Macaca fascicularis: one gene and its partners. The protein of the gene in region 2 interacts with the protein of the main gene of each other region in a pairwise test. Links are inferred from orthologs where the notes say so. Each region holds a gene or a part of one and is shown on either strand. Other genes may lie near its edges.

The links. The genes of interacting proteins can lie anywhere in the genome.
Region 1: the proteins of TRIM39 (region 2) and EIF4A2 interact in binary tests that used the Homo sapiens proteins (3 or more experiments, as listed by UniProt). The two-hybrid records come from large-scale screens. The link is inferred for Macaca fascicularis from reciprocal best matches to the Homo sapiens genes TRIM39 and EIF4A2.
Region 3: the proteins of TRIM39 (region 2) and PSMA6 interact in binary tests that used the Homo sapiens proteins (3 or more experiments, as listed by UniProt). The two-hybrid records come from large-scale screens. The link is inferred for Macaca fascicularis from reciprocal best matches to the Homo sapiens genes TRIM39 and PSMA6.

The regions. Positions count from the first base shown.
Region 1 is NC_088376.1:11,706,497-11,710,351, reverse strand, and holds the end of EIF4A2 (eukaryotic initiation factor 4A-II), read left to right. Parts: coding exon 1-79; intron 80-104; exon of another isoform or gene 105-282; intron 283-512; coding exon 513-650; intron 651-685; exon of another isoform or gene 686-817; intron 818-876; coding exon 877-966; intron 967-993; exon of another isoform or gene 994-1,132; intron 1,133-1,186; coding exon 1,187-1,266; intron 1,267-1,697; exon of another isoform or gene 1,698-1,808; intron 1,809-2,512; coding exon 2,513-2,657; 3' UTR 2,658-3,288; downstream 3,289-3,855. Other genes in the region: RFC4 (replication factor C subunit 4), read right to left, coding at 3,357-3,452, 3,530-3,643, 3,714-3,794. UniProt on the Homo sapiens protein: ATP-dependent RNA helicase which is a subunit of the eIF4F complex involved in cap recognition and is required for mRNA binding to ribosome.
Region 2 is NC_088378.1:142,312,641-142,316,208, forward strand, and holds part of TRIM39 (E3 ubiquitin-protein ligase TRIM39), read right to left. Parts: intron 514-3,568; coding exon 283-513; intron 1-282.
Region 3 is NC_088381.1:103,130,558-103,134,287, reverse strand, and holds the end of PSMA6 (proteasome subunit alpha type-6), read right to left. Parts: intron 3,684-3,730; coding exon 3,589-3,683; intron 794-3,588; coding exon 736-793; 3' UTR 568-735; downstream 1-567. UniProt on the Homo sapiens protein: Component of the 20S core proteasome complex involved in the proteolytic degradation of most intracellular proteins. This complex plays numerous essential roles within the cell by associating with different regulatory particles.

The DNA of each region.
Region 1 (3,855 bases), on a different chromosome or scaffold from region 2:
TCCAATTCGAATTCTGGTGAAAAAGGAAGAATTGACCCTTGAAGGAATCAAACAGTTTTATATTAATGTTGAGAGAGAGGTAACTGATTGTTAGACATTATTTTACCTTCTTGTATAAGCACTGTGCTAAAATTGCAGACACTAGGACTATGTCTTGGTTTTTGCAATAATGCTAGCAGAGTACACACAAGAAGAAAAGTAACAGCACTAGATTGTAAAGACTGGGATGGACCTCTTTCTTAATGTCCAATGTCCTTTGTCTTAAGATTTGGTGCAATATCTCATTAGACCCCTACGTTTTGAGACTGGCTAAGAGGGGCCAATTTTGGTATTTTGGGTAGAGACAGGGTTTCACTATCTGGAAACTGGTTGGAACTCCTGGGCTCAAGTGTTGGGATCCCGAAGTGCTGGGATTATGGGCATAAGCACTGTGCCTGGCCCAGAATGTATTTTTAACTGAAGAAAGTTGGAAAAGCTAAATGACTGTTAACTTTCTCTTCTAAACATTATAGGAATGGAAGTTGGATACACTTTGTGACTTGTACGAGACACTGACCATTACGCAAGCTGTTATTTTTCTCAATACAAGGCGCAAGGTGGACTGGCTGACTGAGAAAATGCATGCCAGAGACTTCACAGTTTCTGCTCTGGTAAGAGGTGTTCTAAAATGTCTGGATTTCCACTAAAGCAGGATTCAGACTACAATATAGCTGCTAAGTGCTGTGTTGTCGTTCCCCCTGCTCAAAATAAAGTTGTTTCTTAACTATACCTGTCTGCTATATTCCTGTAGCAGCCAGGGACGCTTGGTCTCATACATGTTGATTAAAATTACTGACCTGACTGGTGATTCTTGAATTAAGGTTTATTAATTTGCAGCATGGTGACATGGACCAGAAGGAGAGAGATGTTATCATGAGGGAATTCCGGTCAGGGTCAAGTCGTGTTCTGATCACTACTGACTTGTTGGTAAGTCTCTTAATGCTTTTTAAAAATCTACCAAAAGTTAGCTTTTTGGGGGGAAGGTTTTTAAGTAACCTTTGCCAGCTTGGGCTATTTGGAAGAGTAAAAGGACCACACTCCACAGTGGGCTATACCACTTAGTATAGTTCGCTACTATTTTGTGGCCTACATGACAGGTACCATGTTTTTTGAATTAGAATTTTTAACATATGCCATTGTGTTTCAGGCTCGCGGGATTGATGTGCAACAAGTGTCTTTGGTTATAAATTATGATCTACCTACCAATCGTGAAAACTATATTCACAGGTGAGAAGCCAGCATCTTGGATGTATTGAAAAAAAATTCATACATTTTTCTACTGTGATTTGTATGAAAGGTAACATCAAATCAAGGAATAGATTCAGTCAAGTCAGTAGTGTTCAGTAAGATGATGTAATTAAATTTGTACTAGGGGAAGGCTGACGAGAACAAAGTGGGAAAACTTGTAAACATTGCTCAGATTGTGGGCATAGGTTTTTTTTTCCCCCGCAATTGTTGGTCTTAGCTTATGCTTGAGCTTTTAGTGATGTTCTTGTGTCCATGTGCTTTTTCTTGATTTTTTCCATAGTTGGGATTTTCTTGGTGTCGCCTGGTAGCAATTTGAGTGAACCCTGGTTTAGTTATAGTGGCTTTATCCCTAAATAAATTGAATCGTACTTTGTTATGTGATGTAAAAAAAGACTTTTTAAAAAATACAGGAGTCGATAGCAGCAGTTGATGACGAGATGGCACTCAGAAACGGCGTTGACGTAATTTAGGACGTGGAATCATAAGCGAAACAGCACACTGTTTGAATAAAGAGCGAGTCGGTATTTATATTTGTTTTTCTTTTGTCATGATTATTTATTTTAAGTTGCTCCAGCTGAGGCATCTTTCGTATTAGTATTTCTGTTAGGGAACTTTTCTTACTAGGTGGTTTGTATTGTCTGGTTTCTAACATGAAGGTAGCTGTTTGGCGGTTAAACACGTTTTGAGTAATTTGAGTTACAACGTGTGAAACTGAGCAAAAAAGCAGTGATAAGTTTGGGTTACCATACCAAATAACTTGTTTTCCCACTGGAAAAAAGTAAGTTTTAGAAAATAGTTAACCTTTGCAGCATTTGTTTACAGTTTACAGTTCCAGAAGTGCGTCGAAATGGATTACATAACTGCTCTTTTATTCCTGGTGTTTACATCTGTCCCAGGCTGACACCTGCTCTTGGCTGGCCCACTTTGGTATGGGCTTTAATTTCACTACCCCAAACACAATACTGTCATCTGCTTTATAATAATGCTCAAGATGCCTGATAAAAATCTCATTTTGCAGCCAGACAAGCCTTGAATCCTTTTGGCACTAACTGCAAAGGAAGATTTTTTTCTCTAGATATGCATTAGCAGCTAGTGCTCCAGTTAGAAGCACGAACTATAACCTTGATAAGTAAACAGCAGCTGATGGTTAACAAGTGGATCGTCATGTTCAGTAGTTCATAAATTATGTGAGAAGTAACATTCTGATTGTTTTTTTCTTACACAGAATTGGCAGAGGGGGTCGATTTGGGAGGAAAGGTGTGGCTATAAACTTTGTTACTGAAGAAGACAAGAGGATTCTTCGTGACATTGAGACTTTCTACAATACTACAGTGGAGGAGATGCCCATGAATGTGGCTGACCTTATTTAATTCCTGGGATGAGAGTTTTGGATGCAGTGCTCGCTGTTGCTGAATAGGCGATCACAACGTGCATTGTGCTTCTTTCTTTGGGAATATTTGAATCTTGTCTCAATGCTCATAACGGATCAGAAATACAGATTTTGATAGCAAAGCGACATTAGTCGTGAGCTCTTGTGAGGAAAGTCATTGGCTTTATCCTCTTTAGAGTTAGACTGTTGGGGTGGGTATAAAAGATGGGGTCTGTAAAATCTTTCTTTCTTAGAAATTTATTTCCTAGTTCTGTAGAAATGGTTGTATTAGATGTTCTCTATCATTTAATAATATACTTGTGGACTAAAAGATATAAGTGCTGTATAAAATCAGCCAATTATGTTAAACTAGCATATCTGCCTTTATTGTGTTTGTCATTAGCCTGAGTAGAAAGGCCTTTAAAATTTTTTTAGAAAGCATTTGAATGCATTTTGTTTGGTATTGTATTTATTCAATAAAGTATTTAATTAGTGCTAAGTGTGAACTGGACCCTGTTGCTAAGCCCCAGCAAGCAATCATCCTAGGTAGGGTTTAATCCCCAGTAAAATTGCCATATTGCACATGTCTTAATGAAGTTTGAATGTTAAATAAATTGTATATTCACTTTAAAGGTGCTTTTGGTCATTTTTATTACAACCCCCTTATTTACAAAACCCCACATCAAAATATATTCACTTTTTAACAATTCTGAGATAATTGCTGCATCACAGTTGCACAAAGGCTGATGAGTTGCAAATGTTCATCAGCACCATCTGCTAGGCATTTGTCAACTTCCTACAAGAAAAATTTAAGAAATTAGCATCCTTCAGGTAGTTAAATGTTTAATTGACATGTGCAAAGTACCTACTTACGGCAAGTTTTTCTGTAATAATGGACTTCTGTTTATCAGATAAATTATTCTCTACAACCACATCATGGAGTTGACTGACGAACTGAGTTGCTGCATGACCCTCATCTATTAAGTCCTATTAAAAAAAAAACTTTTGGTATGATCATTTAATATTCCTTTCCCCAAAGTTAGTAAGCTGACTTTACCTTGACCACAGCTTCTAGTTTGTCAAAAGAGCCACTCTGACAGGCAGCAAATACTCCATCAATTTTCTCAGCTGGTATTACCTAGGTAATTGAACGTTCAGTATTAAAGATGTTTCTAGGTGAGACTAACACATACAGTCCC
Region 2 (3,568 bases):
AACTCAGGCTAGACTTCCCTCTTTTCAAAAGAATGAATCTTTTCTTTGGAACAGATTAAGCACATAATTGCTGACAAGAGATAAGAACACAAAAATGATTAGAAGGGGATGGGAGAAATCAGATCAGCTTTTCTGTAGCAAAGACCCTTTAAGTACACCTGGCAGAAAGAACGGGATTTAGGGAAGCAGAGCAGAAGAATGAGTATCCCAGGCTGACAAAACAGCCTATGCAAAGCTACACTGCACTCGGCCTGAGGGGCTATGCAGGGGCAAAGGTCGAACCTTAAGCATCTCGAAGCCCGACTGTAAGCACTTGCCCTCCACCTCTGCAGCCAAGTGGGCCAGGTCCCGGCGCTTGTCCCCAAGGTGGGCAGCATTTTCTCGGAGTCGCTGCAGAATGTCCTGTTCCTCTTCTTCTAGTCGTGAAAGCAACACCTGCTGCTCTTCATCCAGCCGCCTGTGAAGCTCTTCAAACTCCCTTAAGATCTGCTGTCGGCGACTTTCCACTAGTCTCTGAGAAGAGGGAAGATGTTATATCAGCAGGGTCAGTGTGGTATAAGGAAGCCTTTCTCTCACCCACCATATGTATGAATTAACACAGACTTCCAGTTTCACCGAAAATGGTTTAACAAAGGCTGGGTGTGGTGACGCATGCCTGTAATTCCAGGCTAAGGGAGGTGGATTGCTTGGGATCAGGAGTTCGAGACCAGCCTAGGCAACATGGTGAAACCCCAACTCTACAAAAAATAGACAAGACAGAAAGACAGAGAGAAAGACAGAAAGAAAGAAAGAAAAAAGAAAGAAAGAAAGAAAATGAGAGAAAATGGTTTAACAAGACAGGGAAGACAAGACAGACAAAGACAAGAAAGACAAGAATGACAAGACAGAAAGACAGAAAGATGGACAGACAGAAAGGAAGAAAGAAAATGAGAGAAAATGGTTTAACAGAACACTCATGTTTTATTCCACTGGAATTTCCTTCTGTAAAGAATGGCTCCATCACTATCACTCCCCTACTGATGACTTGGTAGTGAAGACCACTGGGGACATATATATATATTTTTTTAACTTAAGATAAAAAACTCAATAATATGATGACATGCACTATTACAGATATCAGAGATATCTGTGTTATTATCAACTGTAAAGTTCTAGTTAATTCAATCGGTCGAGAAAAGGAAAGTACAGGCTGAGCATGGTGGCTCATGCCTGTAAGCTTAGTGCTTAGGAGGCCCAGGTGAGGGGATCACTTGAGGCCAAGAGTCCAAGACCAACCTAGAAAACAGTGAGACCTTGTTTCAACTAAAAAGAAAAAAAAAATTAGTCGGGCGTGGCAATGCACATCTGCAGTCCTAGCTACTCAAAAAGCTGAGACAAGAGGATGGATGGCTGGAACCCTGGAGTTTGAGTTAGTGTGCTGTGATTACTACTGCACTCCAGCCTGGGTGAGATTCTGTCTCAAAACAAACATGAAAAACAATGAAACGAAAAGGAAAGTACAAATACTAAAAAGTTAAAAATAAGATTGTCATCTTTTGCATATTGCAACACATCCACCAGATAAAAACCAGAGAACTGTGAAAATACAAGAATCAGTAAGAATTCTATGGGTTATTATAAAATATACATATGTAGATTTCAGGGCTGAACTTGTTAAATTGTTTCAAGTCACTTCAGAGAATTGGCAATTCCTACCCCAGAAACAGGTTACAGAAGTTTGTTAGTAATTTAGTTTCTTGAAATTTGAAACATGCTTTCTCTAAGCCAGCACATAGACTCTAACATTGGGCCTCTAACATTTCTGAAATTTGGTAATACAGGATTCAAACACCAGCCATAACACTTTCTGAGAATTATCAGTACATTCTCTCTTCTGCATCTACACTACAACAAATAGTGATCTCCCTAAAGAAAGAATTCCCCAAGCATCATGTGACTGATGGTGAAGCAAAGTGAGAAGCAGAGACTGGGACTCTAGAAGGAAGTGGATAGGGAACGAAAGGCAGGCCTGAGGGTGAAGAGAGGGTGGGGACGCAAAGCCAGGATGGGCCTGACAAGCGTGGCATTTGTGGATTCAAGCTAGTTCCTGGCAGAAGCTGACCAGCTCTTCTAGTTTAGGGCCACTTGCTACTTCACTTTCCACCACTGCCTTCTCAGTGTACATCTGAACAAAACATATTCTCACATTTGCCCTCAATAAAACACAGCCTTTGTGTGTGTGTGTGTGTGTGTGTGTGTGTGTATGCATGTGTGTTTGTTTAGGTAGGGGTGCAAGTTTAACATTTATGACTGTGATAAATAGGAAGCAAAAAGGCTCTTCCTCTTATAAACCAGTAATCTCTTCTCTTTTTTTCACTCTATATTTTAGGGCAGTGGTTCTTAATGAAGGTGTTATCACCCTCTGAGGATATTCTGGAAATGGGCACATCTTCTTGTTTTCCATAGTTGGGGAAGTTCCTGACAATGACGCTAGCACTCCTCCAATGACAATCCGGCATAGTGAACTGACCTGCAACATTTTCTAATGTTCTGCTGGGTATTCAAAAACATAGGCTTGGGCTTGAATATCATTTTATGTAGTATAAACACAGAGTAATTCTTACATGGTTTTACCATACATAAATTTTTCAGCAATAGCTAAATAAAACACAAGATTATATTCTGTTATACTTAGAACTTTACCAAAAGTTATTATTATGAAAAATCGTATCACCAAGAGCTAAGCTACTTAGTGTTTCAATCACATTGGCACACATCCATCTCAGTCTGAATTTGTATTTATATGTTGCTGATAATGACACATATAGGTGCAAGCATATAACCAGCTATACTGTAAAGTCTTTCAGGGTAGTCATGCCCAAATATTACATACCACATTTTATCATCAATTATGTTTCATTACATTTGGACATGATAGACTCTTTAAAATTTAAAATTATGCACATAGGTTATTTTACCTGCAATTTTCAGTTCAGCATAATTACAAATTATTTTTAAAAGGGGCATTGAGTCTGATGAGGGAGAAGGAGGGAGAATTCAAATGGTCACAAGAGGAATGTTGGTGGTAGTTTTGGAGATCACTGACATGACAATTTACAATTTTAAAAAAAACATGACATTTCTGTTTAAGCATTTAGAAGGTTTTAAAAAAGTATATTTCCATCTCTATTCTTTACCTTCAAGAAGATGACCAACATGAAGAAGAAAGCTAATGACTAGCAATAAGCACCATTTTCATATTTTTAGATTTCTCAGAAGGCCTCTAAAAGAACAAAAAACTAAAAGTTCACGTTTGTAACCAAAATTGGTTCAAATTTTAAAAATTTCAAATGCTTACTTTGCTAAAATGGGTAAGGCACTAAGGTAATAATACTTGCTTTCTGATGAAATGTTGTCATTCATTTAAAAATTCATGTTTCTATGAATCAAAACTTGTATTTAGCTTCTGGTGATCCCTACGTCAACTCTTAAAAACTCATCATTCTTTGGGAAACCTTTAAGGAGGCCAAATTTCTATGTTGTCTTCTTATGAACTTGCACCTGTGCATTTTGTGCCATTACTAATTTT
Region 3 (3,730 bases), on a different chromosome or scaffold from region 2:
TGGTATCCTATTGCACAGCAGAGTGACTACAGTCAACAGTAAGGTACTCTGGATCCAGGCACTGTGGCTCATGCCTGTAATCCCAGCATGTTGGGAAGCTGAGGCAGGAGGATCGCTTAATGCCAGCCAGGAGTCTGAGACCAGCCCATGCAACATAGTAAAACCCCAACTCTACAAACAAATAATAAAATTAGCTGGGTGCAATGGTGTACACCTGCAGTACCAGCTACTAAGGAGGTTGAGGCAAGAGGATTACGTGAACGAGGGAGTTCGAGGCTGCAGTGAGCCATGATCACATCACTGCACTCTAGCTTGGGCAAGAGCAAGATCTTGTTTCAAAAAACAAAAAACAGATCAAGTATTGTGTACCTCAAAATAGCTAAAGGAGAGGATTTTAAATGTTCTCACCACAAAAACACGGTGTTTCAGGTGATGGATAGGCTAATCACCCTAATTTGATCATTATAATGTATACATGTATTGAAACATCACACTGTACCCCATAAATATGTACATTAGGCGTCAAAAATAAATTTTAAAATAGGAGGTGAAAACAACAGGATGCAATTATTTTCCAAAAGCGTTGTTTTTATTTATATAGAGTCCTAACCACTTCAGTGGCAGGAGGAGTGGGAGAGGTTCCTTTTTCAATCCAGGGACCTCCATAATGTTGGTTTGTTGTTACCAAACACACAGGTAAGTGGCATCACGGATCTGGTAAACTAACGACAATGTTTAGTCTCTCTCTGCTAGAGCAACAAGGTGAGCATCAATCTCTGCTTCTGTAAGAATCCTAGAAGGCAAAAGGGGGAAAAAACCAACCATTTAAAAAAAAATTTCAAACACACATAAAAGTAGGATAGTATAATCAACTCCCATATATCTATTGACCTACTTCAACAATTATCAATTTATAAACCAATCTACACACACTTATCCTCCCTCAGATTTTGAAAGAATTCCCAGATAATATATCACCTTCACCTATACACAAAAATGTTTACTTATTTGACATCAGATTTAGAATTGTATCTTGAAAACAAAATTCTTTAGTTGCAGCTAAGATAGAAAATATTTCAATTGAATAATATAAAGCTAAACTATAAAGCATTCTATTTAGCTTCTATGTCAAAAGGCATTTATTTTCATTTTTAAATTTTTTTTTGAGACAGAGTCTTGCTCTGTCACGCATGCTAGAGTGCAGTGGCGTGATCTCGGCTCACCGCAAGCTCCGCCTCCCAGGTTCAGGTGATTCTTCTGCCTCAGCCTCCCAAGCAGCTGGGACTACAGGCACGTGCCACCATGCCCAACTAATTTTTGTATTTTTAGTAGAGACGGGGTTTCATCATATTGGCCAGGCTGGTCTGGAACTCCTGACCTCGTGATCCACCTGCCTCGACCTCCCAAAGTGCTGGGATTACAGGCGTGAGCCACTGTGCCCGGCCGTCAAAATACATTTATATGTAGTATAACTCAAATTTATGTCAGCTCAAAGATAAAAATTCGTGAAGAAATTTTAAGCATATTAAAGTGTTCAGATTCAGTGAAAATAAAGTTGTAATTCTATGAATAGTCTACCAGCCAGAGAATGTTCCATGTTGAACACATATTTTCTTTCTTTTTTTTTTTGAGATGGAGTCTGACCCTGTTGCCCAGGCTGGAGTACAGTGGCATAATCTTGGCTCACTGCAACCTCCACCTCCCGGGGTCAATCAATTCTCCTGCCTCAGCCTCCAAACTAGCGGGGATTACAGGCGTCCACCACCACACCCGGCTAATTTTTGTATTTTTAGTAGAGACGGGGTTTCACCATGTTAGCCAGGCTGGTCTCAAACTCCTGACCTCAAGTGATCTGCCCACGATGGCCTCCCAAAGTGCTGGGATTATAGGCGTGAGCCACCATGTGCGGCCCTGAACATGTATTTTCTAAATGATGTTTGCCTCGAAAGGAATCAATTGTTTGGCAACCTTGTTAATGTGACCTATTACTACTAGACTTCTAACAAGTACAATTTGTCAAAAGAACATTTTTTAGTGCAACTGAAGGCAATATTAAGCAGTTTAAATAGTTGTTGATGCTTATGCTATGTATTGTAATTATTTACATATATTTACTATCACAGAACTTATAAATGATACAAAGTTTTTTGAAGACAAGGTTTTTGGTTCCTTACCAATTTTAAAAATAACAGATACAAATACAATTTTAAAGGTGGCAGGAAGGTCTCCAAACAGAAAAGAAAACAAGAACTAATTGTAGGTTTCTTAGAGAGATTTTAAAATTATTATTGCTGAAATTTTTACTGCTTTAAAAAAAAAAAAAAAAGGCACCTTTTTTGAAAGCAACTTGATCTCCACCCCCACACCTCACCCCTACCCCAATCCAAGTTATAAGACTTCTTCCTATAGGGAAAAAAAGCTAAGACAGATTCGGTTCTGGTGTTGTTGTTGCTATTGTTTTTTTTTTTTTTTTAAACAGATGGGGTCTCACTATGTTAACCAAGCTAGAGTAGAGTGGCTATTCACAGGCACTATCATTGTGCACTACAGCTTTCAACTCCAAAGCTCAAGCCATCCTCTTGCCTCAGCCTCCTGAGGAGCTGAGACTACAGATGCATGCTACATCACCCAGCTCCTGTCTTTTTTTTTTTTTTTTAAAGTCCTATGAATTCTTCTAAATCTGTCATGTTTATATGACTTATCTGTGGGCAACCAAAAGAACAAATTAGGAAAAAATAAATAAATAAATAAATAAAACGAAAAACCTCTTCAAGGTCTAGTTAAGCTTAGTTTACCACTCCCATACCCACACCACAACCCTGATCATGTGTCTTTATGGTTGTGATCTAACAGTAGATACACCTCATAGTTAAAATGCCTCCCAGTAGTTCCTTGCATCTGTGGATTTAACTGTAGTATTTTCATTAGTTAAATATAACACATCCTGGTCCATGGTATATAAACTGACTTACAGGTTGCTGGGAGGATTAAATGAACTGACTATGTGAAGCACTCAGTATGGATTTGAATCATGGAAGTTAGAAGGCTGATGTGTGGGAGTTAGTCACTTAGTGAGTAAGAACACTCACACCCATATCCAGCATCTGCAAGTCAAATAGCTGTATTCAAAATGTGGGCTTTCCAAAGATCTCCAGATAAGGGTCTGACATATATCAGTAGCTCATATTGCTCCTAAAAGTTCTACTTAAACAACCACTAAATAACCAAAGTTCTATCTGAAAAACTTGCAAACTACTACTTTGGGAATTGAATTTGTATTGGCCTTAAACTAAAAAAAAGAAAACACAATGCTAACTTTTTTCCTTACATAAGGAAGGTAGGAAGGTAACTTTATGTTATCTCTGGTGTCAAGATATAAAACCACTATGAAATAAGGAGAAAAGCTTTCATATCTGACTCTTAAAGAGAGTACAGTAAGTTTTAAAACAGATCTCAGGTGCTAGGGGAAAAAAAAAACAAAACTATAATGGCAGTTACAGAAAAAAGATTTCCCCCACAAGTTATAGGACACATGAACTCACATGCCTCCACCTTTCTAGTCTGCATTTGGCCCACAATATCACTCACCTGAATTTAGGATTTTCAACTGTCACTACTCCAACTTCTATTTCTGAAGGTTTGAAATCAATTGATAGAACAGTAGACAGGCATGTAATTGCAGTCTGAAAAAGAGTATGTAATGTTAAAATATAGTATTTTTTAGAGATTC